Linked DNA regions of Macaca mulatta. The protein of the gene in region 2 interacts with the protein of the main gene of each other region in a pairwise test. Links are inferred from orthologs where the notes say so. Each region holds a gene or a part of one and is shown on either strand. Other genes may lie near its edges. The genes, in order: HNRNPM and HNRNPF.

Region 1 (7,661 bases), on a different chromosome or scaffold from region 2:
GACCTCCACCAGGTGGGTTGAGGGGGCCTGGTCTGGAGCAGCAGCTCAAGCTGAGGGCCCTACTCACTTACTGAGTTGGATGGGAGCCCAGGCCAGAGCACCTTTGCAGCGTAGCATTAAGGCAGCATGACAGATGTATCTTGAAGGGAAATCTGTGGCTTCATGAGAAGGCTCGTTTGTTGAAAGTCAACATTAGTTAGAGAAGGATTACATTTCCTGGACATAACATACTCATTTCCCAAATAAATTGTCTGTGTGCTCATCTGAGCAGCGGTCACCCTGGACCGTGGTAGTGGCTGTTGTTGACTCTTGTTTTGGATCAGGAGGTGGAGCACACTGCTCCAGGGAGCCATGGCTCTTGGTCTCCCAGCCATTTCAGAGGCTTGACTTCAAAGCCTTCAGTGTTTTGAGGAGTAAGTAACCTTGGTGATCTCTTGCTGCTGTTGCTGTGCAGTTAAAGATGGAATGTTAATCAGGTTAAACGCCTGGGAAGTAGTGGCAGGTTTTATTTACTTTTTAAATGAATTTTGTTTTCTTTCTTTCCTTTCTTTCCTTCCTTCCTTCCTTTTTCTTTTTCTTTCTTTCTTTTTGATGGAGTTTCACTCTGTCACCCAGGCTGGAGTGCAGTGGCGTGGTCTTGGCTCGCTGCAACCTCCATTTCCTGGGTTCTAGTGATTCTCCTGTCAGCCTCCCGAGTAGCTGCGATTATGGGTGTGCGCCACCATGCCAGGCTAATTTTTGTATTTTTAGTAGAGATGGGGTTTCGCCATGTTGGCCAGGATGGTCTCGAACTCCTGACCTCAGGTGATCCACCTGCCTTGGCCTCCCAAGGTGCTGGGATTTCAGGCCTCGTGAGCCATCGCGCCTGGCCTTGTTATAATTTTTGAAACCTTACCTGGTTGTAGTTTAAGCCTCAGATGGTGGTTACCCCAAATATTGCAAGTGTCAGCTCTTTTGGCTGTTTCCAGAGACCAGCCTGTATTTCTGTGTCCCTGTTTGTGTTGGTAGAGCATGGAGTTGAGTGTGGGCTGGGTATCCAGTTGTGGGTTAGGAAGCTTTGGGGGAAGGAAGATAGGTTCTTTGAATACATACATTAGGTTCATTGTTACTAAAACCACCCAGATTCAGAGAGTAGCGTACATCCAGGATGTTGATTGGCTGGTTTGTAACGTGTTTTTTCATGAGAAACGTCCTTTGGGCTACTAGGGATTGGGCACATTTGTGCTGCTTGCCACCTGATGTCTTGAGTCACCTTTTTTGATCAGTTCTCAGTCCATGGGTTAGTGAAACAAATAGGCTCTCAAGAATCTTAGTGTGGGGGTTGTTAACTTTCCCCTGTGTTGGTTTTCAGCCGCCTTTGTTGTATACACACATATCCCAAACGCCAGAACAAGGTTCTGTTTCCAAATGTGCTGATGTTGAATTTTGCATTGGGCCCTGGGGTCACTGGTGGGTGGGGGTGGGTAGGCTGGAGTGGATAGCTGCAACTCACTAAACAAAGACTCTTTTCCTTTGAGGGTCAAGGTTTGCTAAATAGGGGAAAACTAAACTTCTTTCTCTTTTCCTTCCAGATGGCCTTGGTGGTATTGGCATGGGGTTAGGACCAGGAGGGCAACCCATTGATGCCAATCACCTGAATAAAGGCATCGGAATGGGAAACATAGGTCCCGCAGGTGAGAATGATAGTGCACCTTGCTTGGGGTTTTGGGGAAGTGAAAATTATTAATTATTGGGGCAACTGGACTTTGAGTAGTTTAAATGGAATAAATAGTTAACTGGGACAAAATTCCCTCCTATTCATCTCTGCCTCATTTTTAATAAAGGCAGTATTTTGTATTTTTATCAAGTTGAATCCTTGTTTAAAGTCATTATACTTTTTCATTGTAACCTCACGACAACCTTCTAAGCTGAAATAGTTGTGCCATTTGATAAGAGGAGGCAAGCCAGAGAGTTGCTCTTGCTCAAGGTCACACTGTCAGTTAGTGACAGGCTGCAGGTCTCCTGACCACAAGACCATAGCACTGCTGCAGTACCCTGAAAAGTGTCTTACCAAGACCCCGTGGGCCCTCCTGGTGTTTGCACAGCTGCTGCTAGAGAGCTAGGGGCATTGATAGATGCAAAAAAGGTGGAGAGGCCAGGCGCGCTGGCTCATGCCTGTAATCCCAGCACTTTGGGAGGCCGAGGTAGGCAGATCACAAGGTCAGGATTTGAGACCATCCTGGCCAACATGGTGAAACCCCATCTACTACAAATACAAAAATTAGCTGGGTGTGATGGCATACGCCTGTAGTCCCAGCTACTTGAGAGGCTGAGGCAGGAGAATTGCTTGAACCCAGGAGGCGGAGGCTGCAGTGAGCCAAAATCGCGCCACTGCACTCCAGCCTGGGTGACAGAGCGAGACTCCGTCTCAAAGAAAAACGGTGGAGAGGGCCTCACTCTGTGACAATGTGGCCGTCACAGGAAACATGGTGGACAGTGTTGTCTTTAAGAAGACAGGGATCCGCCGGGCGCGGTGGCTCAAGCCTGTAATCCCAGCACTTTGGGAGGCCGAGACGGGTGGATCACGACGTCAGGAGATGGAGACCATCCTGGCTAACACGGTGAAACCCCGTCTCTATTAAAAAATACAAAAAACTAGCCGGGCGAGGTGGCGGGCGCCTGTAGTCCCAGCTACTCGGGAGGCTGAGGCAGGAGAATGGCGTGAACCCGGGAGGCGGAGCTTGCAGTGAGCTGAGATCCGGCCACTGCACTGCAGCCTGGGTGACAGAGCGAGACTCCGTCTCAAAAAAAAAAAAAAAGAAGACAGGGATCCCAGCACCCGAGGTCAGGAATTTGAGACCAGCTTGGCCCACATGGCAAAACTCCATCTCTACTAAAAATACAAAAATTAGCCGGGCGTGGTGGCTTGCACCTGTAATCCCAGCTACTCGGGAGGCTGAGGCAGGAGAATCACTTGAACCCGGGAGGTGGAGATTGCAGTGAGCTGAGATGACATGACTGCAATTCAGCCTGGCAACAGAGCGAGACTCTGTCTCAGAAAAAAAAAAGCAACTGCATGAAAGCTTCAATGTGTAGAATAAACTCAGGCTTTGCTGTTTAGCATTTTCATTTCTGTATAATGATGTATTTTGATTCTATTAAGGAGTATTTCATTTTAATGACTTCAGACTTTGGTCTTTGTTAGAATCCTTTGAAATTGGAATTTGGAAGCCCCTCTATCCCACCATTGTCAGTGTTGCATATCGCTAGATTCTTCCAGGGTCACCCTGGGGCTGACTTAAGTTCTGGGCCACGACTTCAAATGGCTCTAACGTTTCCCCCTGACCCAAAACACACACACCCCACGTCTGACATCTAAACAGAAAGACTGGGGGTTGGGGAGGAAGTCTTGGTGTTTTTAGGAACTGGTTTTTATTTTGAAGATTTTACCTTTAACAGGGACTTTTTAAAAATCTATTTCTGTTCCCTAAAATTTTCTAAAAAGTTTATGTTCCGTAGAATGTGTCTTACAATTGTTTCCATTTCATGTTTAATACTGCCTAGCTTGAGGCCTGTGTGTGTGTGTGGTGTGGTGTGGTGGCTCACGCCTGTAATCCCAGCAATTTGGAGGCCAAGAGTTTGAGACTAGTCTAGGCAACATAGTGAGACTCAACCTCTACAAAATATAAAAAAAATTAGCGGCCGGGCGCGGTGGCTCAAGCCTGTAATTCCAGCACTTTGGGAGGCCGAGACGGGCGGATCACAAGGTCAGGAGATCGAGACCATCCTGGCTAACCCGGTGAAACCCCGTCTCTACTAAAAAATACAAAAAACTAGCCGGGCGAGGTGGCGGGCGCTTGTAGTCCCAGCTACACGGGAGGCTGAGGCAGGAGAATGGCGTGAACCCGGGAGGCGGAGCTTGCAGTGAGCTGAGATCCAGCCACAGCACTCCAGCCTGGGCGACAGAGCGAGACTCCGTCTCAAAAAAAAAAAAAAAAAAAATAGCCAGATGTGGTGGCGTACACCTGTAGTTCCAGCTACTTGGGAGGCTTAGGCAAGAGGATCACATGAGGCTGCAGGGAGCTATGACCATGCCACTACATTCCAGCCTCAGTGACAGGAGACCCTGTCTCAAAAAAAAAAAAAAAAAAAACCCTGCCCGACTGGGTCATTAAACTGTGTAGATCCCATAGAAAAAAATTAGCTAGGCGTGGTGGCAGGCGCCTGTAATCTCAGCTAGTCGGGAGGGTGAGGCAGAAGAATTGCTTGAACCTGGGAGGTGGAGGTTGCAGTGAGCCAAGATTGTGCCATTGCATTCCAGCCTGGGTGGCAATACTGTGTCTAAAAAAAAAAAAATTTTTTTTTTTTAGCTATATATATATTTTTTTGAGTGGGAGTCTCGCTCTGTCGCCCAGGCTGGAGTGCAGTGGCTGGATCTCAGCTCACTGCAAGCTCCGCCTCCCGGGTTTACGCCATTCTCCTGCCTCAGCCTCCCGAGTAGCTGGGACTACAGGTGCCTGCCACCTCGCCCGGCTAGTTTTTTGTATTTTTTTTTTTTTAGTAGAGACGGGGTTCACCGTGTTAGCCAGGATGGTCTCGATCTCCTGACCTCGTGATCCGCCCATCTTGGCCTCCCAAAGTGCTGGGATTATAGGCTTGAGCCACTGCGCCCGGCCCAGCTATATGATACTTGACAGTTGAAATGGTAGGGGCTTTTTTTCTTGCTAATTAAAATATATAAAATATACTTGTCATCAGGGATTTTCTTTTGAGTTCTTTTGCTGGTTTGGAATTATGCTTTTTAAGTTCAAATGTTATTTACTGCTTTGACATAATTTTAGTTTGCATTGACTTTTTCTTTTTAAGGAATGGGAATGGAAGGCATAGGATTTGGAATAAATAAGATGGGAGGTAAGAAATTTAAAATGAAGTACAAGCATAATCACTTTTAGGCATGGTTTTCTCTCTTTCCTCTTTTCTTTCTTGTTTAAACCCTGCATGAAATTCTCTTTGGTTTCAGTTTGAGTCTAGAAATGACTTCCTCCTGCCTGTCCATCCTTCCAGCGGGTGTCTTGGCTTTTGGTTCTGGCTGTCTCACTAACTAGCTCTGTGACCTTGGGCAGACCACTCCATCTCTGTGCCTCTTTTTGCTTGTCTGTTCATTGAGGGGGTTGGATCAGAGCAGCTTTTTGAAGGTGGTGATTTTTAAACAAGGGTGCTAGCATTTTTTTGTTTTTCAGAAGCCCTTAAACTTGATAGATAAGTTCTTGGCAGAAGATACCCCAGTTGAAACGTGATAGAATTTTTCTTTCCCTGCTCAGTCTAAGCAGTCTTGTTGGGTGATGCTGAAATGTGAACATCTCTTGCAGGAATGGAGGGGCCCTTTGGTGGTGGTATGGAAAACATGGGTCGATTTGGATCTGGGATGAACATGGGCAGGATAAATGGTAAGCATCGTGTTTTCTTCCTGCTTTCACCCACCCTTTGTCGGCTGTTGCCTCTCAGGTGACCTTAGGCTACAGACCCACTGAATAAGTGATTTCTCACTTCTGCTTTTCAGCCGAATCAAATGTCTTTTGAATTGCCTTAAATATTTCAAGAACTAGACATAATAGTCGACTTACTTCACTTGGTCGCTAGTCTTTGAGCTGTCCTGTGTTCCCAAGCTCTGCAGTAATATTCGAGTACAGTGTTAAAAAGCATGTACATGTTTGTGGTTATGGTCTCTTGAGTATGAGGGATTCTTTAAAGTTTGTGATCAAGTTTGTCTGTCTCTAGGAGCGCTGGAAGGGGTAGTTCTTGGTCATCTGTCCCAGCTGCAAGTTGTCCATAGAGGTGTTAATAAAAAAAGAGCCTTGTCTACAGGCTCTTTTAATTTAGTATTTGCATTATGCAAATTCTGGTTTAGTGTAATTCAAATCCTTCACCAACTTTTCTTTTCTTTTTTTTTTCTTTTATTTTTAATGAGACAGGGTCTCACTCTTTTGCCCAGACTAGAGTGCAATGGTGCGATCTTGGCTTACACTGCAAGCTCCACCTCCCAGGTTCAAGTGATTCTCCTGCCCCAGCCTCCTGAGTAGCTGGGGTTACAGGTGTACGCCACCACGCCTGGCTAATTTTTATATGTTTAGTAGAAACGGAGTTTCACCATGTTGGCCAGGCTGGCCTCGAACTCCTGACTTCAGGTGATCCGCCCACCTCAGCCTCCCAAAGTGGTGGGATTACAGGCGTGAGCCACCATGCTCGGCCCCCACCCCCAACTTTTTGACAGAAATATAATGATAATATAATAACAATGTAGTATTGCATTTATTCCTTGTGAGAACCACATGATACGTACATACTGGTATCCCCGTTTCATCCAAAACTGAGGCACAGAGAGTGACATGCCTAAGTCACGTGACTGGTAAACGGTGGTGCCTGCATGTGAACCCAGGCTGTCTGGCTCCAGAGCCTGGCACTTCATCACGTGGGAATCCTGCCTTCTAGAAGTGCCTCCAGCACAGCACTTAGCCCACGGCACCAGCAGGGCTACAGAGTGTGCATGATAAATTGGAAATCTTCCTTTTTGAAATCCTCTATGTGTTGGTGACTCTTTGACCTTCCCCTTCACCACAGGAAAGCTGCTGCTTTTTTACACAGAAACTTTCTTGGAATGGGAAGTCATTAGGAATTTGGGTATAAACCTTCCTTTGCGGGTCTGTCATAACAGAGAATGTGAAAATGGTACAAGGACAGACATCACTGTCAGGCTTGAAAGGCGGCTGTCCCCGGTGATCAGGCCCTTCCAGTGCACAGGGAGCAGTGGGGCATGATGTGTGTTGCCCTCTTCATGGGTGCCTTGTTCTAGAAGCTAGTAAAAGGATGTAGGAAAGTCGTCACCATTAGTTAGTAATAAAGCAACAAAGGTCTCTGTTTCCAGCGTACATTCAAGCTTGCCTGTAACTTGTGTGTGCTTGGGATTTTATTTATTTATTTATTTTATTTATTTTTTTTGTTGTTGTTTGTTTTTTTTTCTTTGAGACGGAGTCTCACTCTTGTCTTCCAGGCTGGAGTGCAGTGGCATTATCTCGGCTCAATGCAAGCTCTGCCTCCTGGGTTCACGCCATACTCCTGCTTCAGCCTCCCGAGTAGCTGGGACTACAGGCCCCCGCCACCACGCCCGGCTAATGTTTTGTATTTTTAGTAGAGACGGGGTTTCACTGTGTTAGCCAGGATGGTCTCGATCTCCTGACCTCGTGATCCGCCCGCCTTGGCCTCCCAAAGTGTTGGGATTACAGGCGTGAACCACCGCGGCCAGCTGGAATTTTAATTTTTAAAAAAAGTTTCATACATCTGGCTTGGTAAAATGTTACTCAGAGCAGATTAGTCTGGGTGTGCTGGCTGACGCCTATAATCCCAACACTTTGGGAGGTCGGGGTAAGAAGATTGCTTGAGCTCAGGAGTTCAAGATCAGCCTAGGCAACATGGCAAAACTGCATTTCTCTCTCTCTCTTTTTTTTTTTTTTAAAAAAGAACAGATTAGTCATTAAAAGGGAATTTTGAGTTGTTGCTGTGAGGAGCAGAGTGGTGCAGTTTAGAAGTAGATGGAAACCAGGATGGGTTGGCCTGGGAGCTGTGCTGAGCTGTGTAACACAGTTGGTGGTGAACTGGCAGGTGTAATCTCGCAATCAGGATTCAGA
Region 2 (8,405 bases):
GACATTTTTACCTCTTCTGACAGCTCCTGCTTTACTCTTTCCGTTCTCTTTCTTGGAACTAGCTTTTTTTTTTTTTTTTTTTTTTTTTTTTTTTGACAAACTCCTTCCTTCATCACAGTCATCCCACTCATCATCTGACACTATTTTGAGCACTCCTTTACTTTCTCTGGTGATTTAGAAAATAACGTTCAGCCAGGTGCGTGGCTCAATCCAGTAATCTGAACATTCTGGGAGGCAGAGGTGGGCAGATGGCTTGAATCCAGGAGTTCCCGACCATCCTGGGCAACATAGCAAAACCCCATCTCTACAAAAAATACAAAATTTAAGGCCGGGCACGGTGGCTCACGCCTGTAATCCCAGCACTTTGGAAGGCCGAGGCAGGTGGATCACGAGTTCAGGAGATCGAGACCATCCTGGCTAACATGGTAAAACCCCGTCTCTACTAAAAAATACAAAAAATTAGCCGGGCGTGGTGGCGGGCTGCTGTAGTCCTAGCTTCTTGGGAGGCTGAGGCAGGAGAATGGTGTGAACCCGGGAACCAGAGCTTGCAGTGAGCCGAGATTGCGCCACAGCACTCCAGCCTGGGCGACAGAGCAACACTCGGTCTCAAAAAAAAAAAAATACAAAATTGAGCCAATAGTGGTGGTGCTACTCAGGAGGTTGAGGCAGGAGGATTGCTTGAGCCCAGGAGGTCGAGGCTGCAGTGAGCCGTGATTGTACCCACTGCACTCCAGCCTGACTGACAGAGAGAGACCCAGTCTGGAAATAGTAATAGTAATAATGTTCAGCTTAACCTGTGATGAGTGCCTTGACATCATCTCTTCATGAAGGAAGGTCCACCAAAATGAAATGATTATAATTATTAGCCTTACAAAGCGTGAGAAAAAAAAAAAAAATCTGTCCCTGGCTTAGCCATTAGCCACCAAATCTCTGTGTTCAGGTGCTCTGTGACTGAAAACCTTGCCCTCGACCTGGGTCTGAGTTACATTCTGAGGTTTGGGGGCTTCTCACACCACGGAATTACCACGTGAGCAACTTCGACCTGACAAATCCCTCCTAACGCTTGCCCCGCTCTGAGACGCCTTTAAGCGATCTCTGGAGTACTCAGCGTACTTTTTTTTTTTTTTTTTTTTTTTTTTTTTGAGACGCAGTCTCGCTCTGTCGCCAGGCTGGAGTGCAGTGGTGCCATCACGGCTCACGCAACCTCCGCCTCCCGGGTTCAAGCGATTCCCCTGCCTCAGCCACCCGAGTAGCTGGGACTACAGGCGCGCGCCACCACGCCCGGCTAATTTTTTGTCTTTTAGTAGAAACGGGGTTTCACCATGTTGGCCAGGATGGTCTCACTCTCCTCACCGCGTGATACGTCCGCCTCGGCCTCCCAAAGTGGTGGGATTACAGGCGTGAGCCATTGCGCCCGGCCCTCAGTGTACTTCTTTCCTTATTTTATTTTTTGAGACAGCCTCTCGCTCTGTCGCCCAGGCTGGACGCAGTGGAGCAGTCACGGATCACTGCAGCCTCGACCTCCCGGGCTCAAGCGATTCTCCCGCCTTAGCCTCCCAAATTACTGGGACCACAGGCTTGCGCCACCACGGCCTGCCATGGTTCTCATTTCCTTTTCCCATCCTAGTCTTCAAATCAGGAGTCCTTTGAGCGCACATTTCAGTGTCCTGCGGGGCTTACCAGTGGCCTTCCTCCAGGGCCTCAGGGGCAGTCAGAGGGATCTTTCCCGCCGCTCCACTTCCTCCTCCTCCTCCTCCTCCCCCATCCCCTCCCCACCCCTCCCTTCTCCTCCCCCCCATCCCCTCCCCACCCCTCCCTTCTCCTCCCCCCCATCCCCTCCCCACCCCTCCCTTCTCCTCTCCAGAAACGTCCTCGCTAGTCTGCCTCCGCCGCCTCCCCCACACCCCCGCCCCCAGTGTCGGCTCAGCTCCGCGCCCGGCCGGCCAACCGGTAGCTCCGCTCTGGGCGCGTCACAGTAGCGCCGTCGCGGCCCCGCCCCCGGGTGCAAGACGCAGAAGCTCCGCCCTACCGCGGTCCTTGCGTCCTTCCGGCTCCGTCGTGGAAGCAGGACTGCGCCGCGTCTTCCTTAAGGTGGGGTTCGGGGTGGCACTGAATCGCTGTCACGCCGGCAGGTAGCAGCGGGGTGGGGACGCGGGCTCCTTGGGCTTCTGTTTCCGGGTGCTCAGGGCAAAGGGCCGAGCCGGGGAGTAGGGCCGAGTCGGGGCCTGGCACGCCGGGAGCAGGAGGGCTTCCGGCAAAGCCGCGTGCTCTCGTCGGGCAGGCGCTAAGGACTGGGGCCGGCAGCGCGCCTGACCCCGCCCCTCGTAGGCCCCGCCCCGTGCTCGCAGCCGGGGGTTTCCATGGTGATGGTCAACAAGCCTCAACTGCCTCTGCTACAACTGCCAAGTTCCCCGCGTCCCACCCTCCTCTAGGTGCTCCGAGGGACCACCGGGGTGCCTGATGTGAGAGCGGGAGCGTAGAGACTCGGAGGCCGAGGTGAGGGGTGGCCGAAGTCTCCGACGTCGAAGGCCGCACACCCGTGACCGAGCGGGGACCGGGTCCCCCTGGGGGTGTGGACAGTGGGCCTGGGATTTGAGATTGGGGAGACCTTCCGAAGTCCAGGGCCCCGTACCCGGACTACCTGGGGTTTGGGCCTATTGGGGTGGGTGGGGCTGGGGCTGGGATTTGGGATCAGGGAGGAGAGATCTGAGTTTAAGCGCCACGCATCTGGGACCGATCGAGGACTGCACATAATGAGGGGCCGCGGCGCTGAGATTTGGGGGACGGATTCGAGGTCGAGGGGCCGGTACGTGGGACCGACGAGAACTGGACCCCCTGGGATCGGGAGACGCAGTGTCGGAGGTCGAGAGCCGCACGCCCAGATAGTGGTCCCACGCGGTGAGCACCGCGGGCTGAGATTTTGGAGTCAGGGGCTGCCGGGAAGACACGGCCGGCCGGTGCGTTAGTTCAGCCTCCTGGTCGGGCGCTGGCGACCACCGGAGGGCTCTGAAAGTGAGAACAGGCCTGGCTCAGTGGGAGGCCCAGCCGGGAGGATCTCTTGAGCCCAAGAGTTCCCGACAAGCCTGGGCAACATAGTGAAACTGTCTTTGCTAAAAAGTTAAAAAAAAAAAAATAGAAAGCCACGTGTGGTGGCGCGCGCCTGTTGTCCCAGCTACTCGAGAGGCTGAGGCGGGAGAGTTGCTTGCTCTGAGGAGGTCAAGGCTGCAGTGACAGTGACTGTGCCACTGCATTCCAGCCTGGCCGATGGGAGTGAGACCTTGTCTCAGAAGTAATAACAGTAGTAATAATACCTGAATAAAATGAAAGCCGCGCGCTCACGTGGCTGTAGGCGCCTGAGAGTTGCACAAGACTTCCTTGTGGGGAGTTGGCTCCGCCCTCCTCCCACGCCCGGTTCCCGGAGCCTTAGCTCTCTGCCCTGGGCCCATTTTCTTCCTCGGCGGCGCCGCGTGTCCTCGTAGCGCGGTCTCTGTGTTGGTCTCCTGCTCCTAGAGGTACCGTGTTTGTATCTGGGGTGAAAATCTGACTCGTGCGCGCTCTTCGGCTTAGTCGTCTTTTTTTTTTTCCCTTCTGCTTGTGTGTATGAAGCATTTTCGTCGATTCCGCCCTGCTCCTAGGAAACTTGAGGACGGGGCCCGGCTCCTGCTGCGCCGGCTGCCCCGCTCCCCCAACCGCAGAGTCGTGGACCAGGGTTTTGAGGAGCAGGGCACCCGACTCGCCCTCCCCGCCAGACCGCCCAGGTCGCGGGGACCCCTCCCGCTAGGTGCCTGGGATCCCCGCTCGGCTCCGCGTGTGTCCCGGCTGGAGGGTGGAAGGAGAGCCGAGCTCGGCCATTGCCCGCGGGGCGCCCTTCGCTGCGGCTTTTCGGTCTCCGAGCGGCCCGGGGACGAGCTAACGCGCCTCTTTAGTTTTCGAAACTGCTTGCGGGCGCTGGGGGCTCGGGCCGGCCATCTGCGTGGCGGGACAGGAGGCGCGCGCTGGCGGCTGCGCGCGAAGGGCAACGGGCGGCGACGGCGGCTTCCCGGAACCGCGCGGGGCGGGCGCTGCGCCGGGGTCAGGGCCACAGCCTCAGGCGGCAGGGAGTTCTGAAAGTGTTGTCTTCAGTCGTTCCTTTCAAAAAGTCATCTTAATTCTTCCAAAAATATACACATATAATTCTTTCTACTTATATTTTTAAAAGTTAGATACGTGGTTGTCTCTGAATTCCTAGTAAGATAAAAATTCATTGGGTTCTCTAGGTAGGTGAAAGATATCTTAAGTGCTATCCCTGAAAAGTGACTCGTTGCTTTTACAGAATTTATAAAATAAGACATTACTACTTTAATGAATGTAAAGAGAGAGATTGCTTTATTCCTAAGCAAAAAGATCTTTTGCCTTGTAGGTATTACATTCCGGTGTGCATTCTGTAGATTAGAGTCACTGCCGGCCGGGCGAGGTGGCTCACGCCTGTAATCCCAGCATTTAGGGAGGCCGAGGTGTGGGAGAATCGCTTGGGCGTCAGAGACCGACCCCGTCTCTATAAAATGATATATATATTATATATATTATTTTTTGAGACAGGGTCTCACTTTGTTGCCCAGGCTGTGTGATCTCGGCTGGCTGCCGAGATCCTCCTGTGCTCAAGGGGTCCTCCCACCTCAGCCGCCGAGTATCTGGGACCACGGGCATTCTCCAGCACGCCTGGCAAATTTTTGTATTTTTTGTAGAGATGGGGTCTCCTTGTGTTGCCCAGATTGATTTTCAAACTTTTGTGTTCAAGCGATTCTCACGCCTCTGCCTCCCAAAGTGCTGGGATTACAGGCGTGAGCCATCATGCCTGGCCACTTTTTTGTAAACTGTGAAGTTTTCTGTTAAGGGTAGCGTTACAAAGCTTTATTCAGGTAAAAATTGCAATTTATTTAAGGGAAAATAGTGAGTAAATAAAGTTACTTCTCCCACGTGGCCAGAACCTTGGAAAGTCTGGAGGCAAATGAGAGCCTAGTGCGGGTAGATGCCTGCAGGGGCTGCAGAAATGTGACAGGCCCTTTCCGTGGAGGTGACTTCTCTAATTCCCCTCCTCCACTGAGCTCTGGTTCTCTGCTCTTCGAGAGAACCACATTAGTTGATTCTTACTAGGTCCTAGAAGTTTTATTCCATTTTCTAATTACATTCTCAGGACTACTGTAAAAGGGGTTGCTATTAGCCCCAGATGAGAAAATGGAGGTTGGGAGAAGTCACGTGCCCAGGGACACAATTGGGACTGGGTCCCAAGTTGGACCGGGACACCCCTCCCCTGCCGGGGCCCTTGCCCTGTCTTAGTTCCCCTGAGCTACGGTTCTTTGGAGGGCAACAGGGTGGGCAGAGGGAGAACAGTCAGCCAAGACCACCCTGGGTTATTTTACAGCAAATCCCAGACCAATAAGGTGTTTATTAATAAATAAATCCGCAGTATTTCTAAGGACTTTTAAAATCTAACCATAATACTGCTATCATACCTAAAAATACATTCCAAAATACCAAGTTTCCAGGGTTTAAATGTTTCCGTATTAAATATTTTAAACAACTGGTTGGTTTGAGTCAGGATCCAAAGTCACACCTTATATTTTGTAGATAACTTTTTAAATTCAGAGCAGCACTGGCCAATAGAAGTATAATGTATGCTATAAATGTAATCTTATATTCTTTTTTTTTTTTTTTGAGACGGAGTCTCACTCTGTCGCCCGGGCTGGAGTGCCGTGCGGGTTTACGCCATTCTCCTGCCTCAGCCTCCCGAGTAGCTGGGACTACAGGCACCCGCCACTTTGCCGGGCTAGTATTTTGTGTTTTTTGGTAGAGACAGGGTTTCACTGTGTTAGCCAGAATGGTCTCGATCTCCTGACCTCGTGATCCGCCCGTCTCGGCCTCCCAAAGTGCTGGGATTACAGGCTTGAGCCACCGCGCCCGGCCAATCTTATATTCTCTAGTGGTAAAAGGAAACGTGATTCATTGTATTAATAATTTAACCTAACATATATCCACTATTAAAACACTTTCGTTTCTCCATGATCTTGACTAAAATAATTAAAAACAATCCTGTGAACCTGTCAAAATCCAGTGAGTTTTACACATACACATTTCAGGTGTGGTGAATGGATGCTGTATCAGTGATCATCTAGAAGTTCCCCTTTCTTAAAGGCCCCATTCCCGGTTATATTTGTCGGGTTGTCTTGCAGCATTCCTTCCCCACACTTCGCATTTTTCTGATTGTTTTTCCCTGGTGGCCTTTGAGTCTCTGTTCTTTATATTTGCTGTAAAGTGATAGTTACCTCTAGAAGTGGTGTTGGTTTTGGTTTTATTTTTGTTTTTAAAACAGAGTTTTGGTTTTGTTGCCCAGGCTGGAGTGCAATGGCAGTGATCTTGACTCACTGCAACCTCCGCCTCCTGGGTTCAAGCAGTTCTCTTGCCTCAGCCTCCTGAGTAGCTGGGATTACAGGCGTATTTTTAGTAGAGACAGGGAATCACCTTGTTGGTCAGGCTGGTCTCGACCTCCTGACCTCAGGTGATCCACCCGCTTCAGCCCCCCAAAGTGCTGGGATTACAGGTGTGAGCCACTACACCCAGCCTGGAGGTAGTTTTGATTCAGATGGGAGTTTTTGGAAAGAATACTTAGTTGAGGTGCTGTGCCCCTACTGGAGGCACATATTGGTTGGTATTTTCCCTTTTGTCATGTTACAGCAGCTATTAATGATCATTACCTAGATCTATTATTTTCTTAAATGGTTTCCAAATTAGTGATATTTTAATAATCGATTCCTTCTCACTTATTAGCAGGAATACTTTTATAAGATGATAACTCCTTCAATGATCATTTGATCGCTCTAAGATGTACTTTTGTTTTCCTTTTTTTTTTTTTTTTTTTTTAAGACTCTTTTTTTTTAAGAGTCTCACTCTGTCACCCAGGCTGGAGTGCAGTGGCAGGATCCGGGCTCAGTGCAGCCTGAGCCTCCTGGGTTCAAGCAATTCTCAGGCTCATGAGCAGCTGGGATTACAGGCGTGCAGCACCACCACGCCCGTCTAATAGTAGAGATGGTTTCACCATATTGGCCAGGGTGGTCTCAAACTGCTGACCTCAAGTGATCTGCCTGCTTTGGCCTCCCAAAGTGCTGGGATTACAGGCATGAGCCACCCACCACACCCAGCCCCCTACATTTTGTTTTTTTTTTTTTTTTTTTCAAGAAACAATTTCATTTTGATGCGCACACTGGAGTGCCATGGTGCAAACAGAGCTCACTGCAGCCTTGACCTCCTGGGCTCGGGCAATCCTCCTACCTCAGCCCCCCAAGTAGCTGGGATTACAGGTGTGTGCCACATGCCCAGCTAATATTTTTTTGTATTTTTTTGTAGAGAAGGGGTTTTGCCATGTTGCCCAGGGTGGTCTCCTGAGCTCAAGTGATCTGCCCACCTCGGCCTCCCAAAGTGCTGAGATTACAGGTGTGAGCCACAGTACATGGCCTCGTTTCTTCCTTGACATAAATTCAGTTTAGCATTTCTCATAAAACATTAAAAAATTACCTCTGTACTTTGTCTCCATTGATACATCAGTATGATAAATTGCAGTGATTGAGTTTGAAATGATCAACTACACTTGCATTCCTGAAATAAACCCAACTTGGTCATAATATTGCTTTACATATTGCTGGATTTGGTTGACTGATACTTGGTTTGGACTTTCACATCTGAGTTCTTGAGTAAAATTAGCCTGTGATACTTGATGAACTAATTGTAAACTCTTTTGGAAATGAAAAAATCAATTTCAAGTTCATTGTAGATCTAAGTGTAAAAATTTAGGTAAAAACATCAGCGCTTTGTAAGTTCAGATAACCATATGGGCTTGGGCTAGGAAAAAGATCTCTTGAAAATGACACAGACTGGACGGGGTGGCTCACACCTTTAATCCCAGCACTTTGGGAGGCTGGGGCAGGCAGATTGCTTGAGGCCAAGAGTCCAAAACCAGCCTGGCCAATGTGGTGAAACCCCATCTCTACTAAAAATACAAAAATTTGCTGGGGGTGGTGGTGTGCATCTGTAATCCCAGGCTGAGGCAGGAGAATTGCTTGACCTCAGGAGGCGGAGGTTTCACTGAACTGAGATCGTGCGCCTGCACACTAGCCTGGGTGACAGAGCCAGAGTCCGACTCAGAAGAGAAAAAGTGACACAGAGCAGGCAATGTAGGCTCACACCTGTAATCCTAACACTTGGGAGGTCAAGGTGGAAGAATGGATTTGAGCTCAGGAGATCAAGACCAGCCTGGGCAAGATGGCAAGACCCTATCTTTTCAAAAAAGAATTTTTAATTAGCCAGATGTGATAGCGAACACTTGTAATACCAGCTACTTGGCAGGCTAAGTGGGGAGGATCCCTCGAGCCCAG

The links.
Region 1: the proteins of HNRNPF (region 2) and HNRNPM interact in binary tests that used the Homo sapiens proteins (3 or more experiments, as listed by UniProt). The two-hybrid records come from large-scale screens. The link is inferred for Macaca mulatta from reciprocal best matches to the Homo sapiens genes HNRNPF and HNRNPM.

What each region holds. Positions count from the first base shown.
Region 1 is NC_133424.1:9,322,395-9,330,055, forward strand, and holds part of HNRNPM (heterogeneous nuclear ribonucleoprotein M), read left to right. Parts: intron 1-1,571; coding exon 1,572-1,673; coding exon of another isoform or gene 1,674-1,712; intron 1,713-4,845; coding exon 4,846-4,890; intron 4,891-5,348; coding exon 5,349-5,426; intron 5,427-7,661. UniProt on the Homo sapiens protein: Pre-mRNA binding protein in vivo, binds avidly to poly(G) and poly(U) RNA homopolymers in vitro. Involved in splicing.
Region 2 is NC_133414.1:55,880,445-55,888,849, reverse strand, and holds the start of HNRNPF (heterogeneous nuclear ribonucleoprotein F), read left to right. Parts: upstream 1-3,435; 5' UTR 3,436-3,512; intron 3,513-8,405.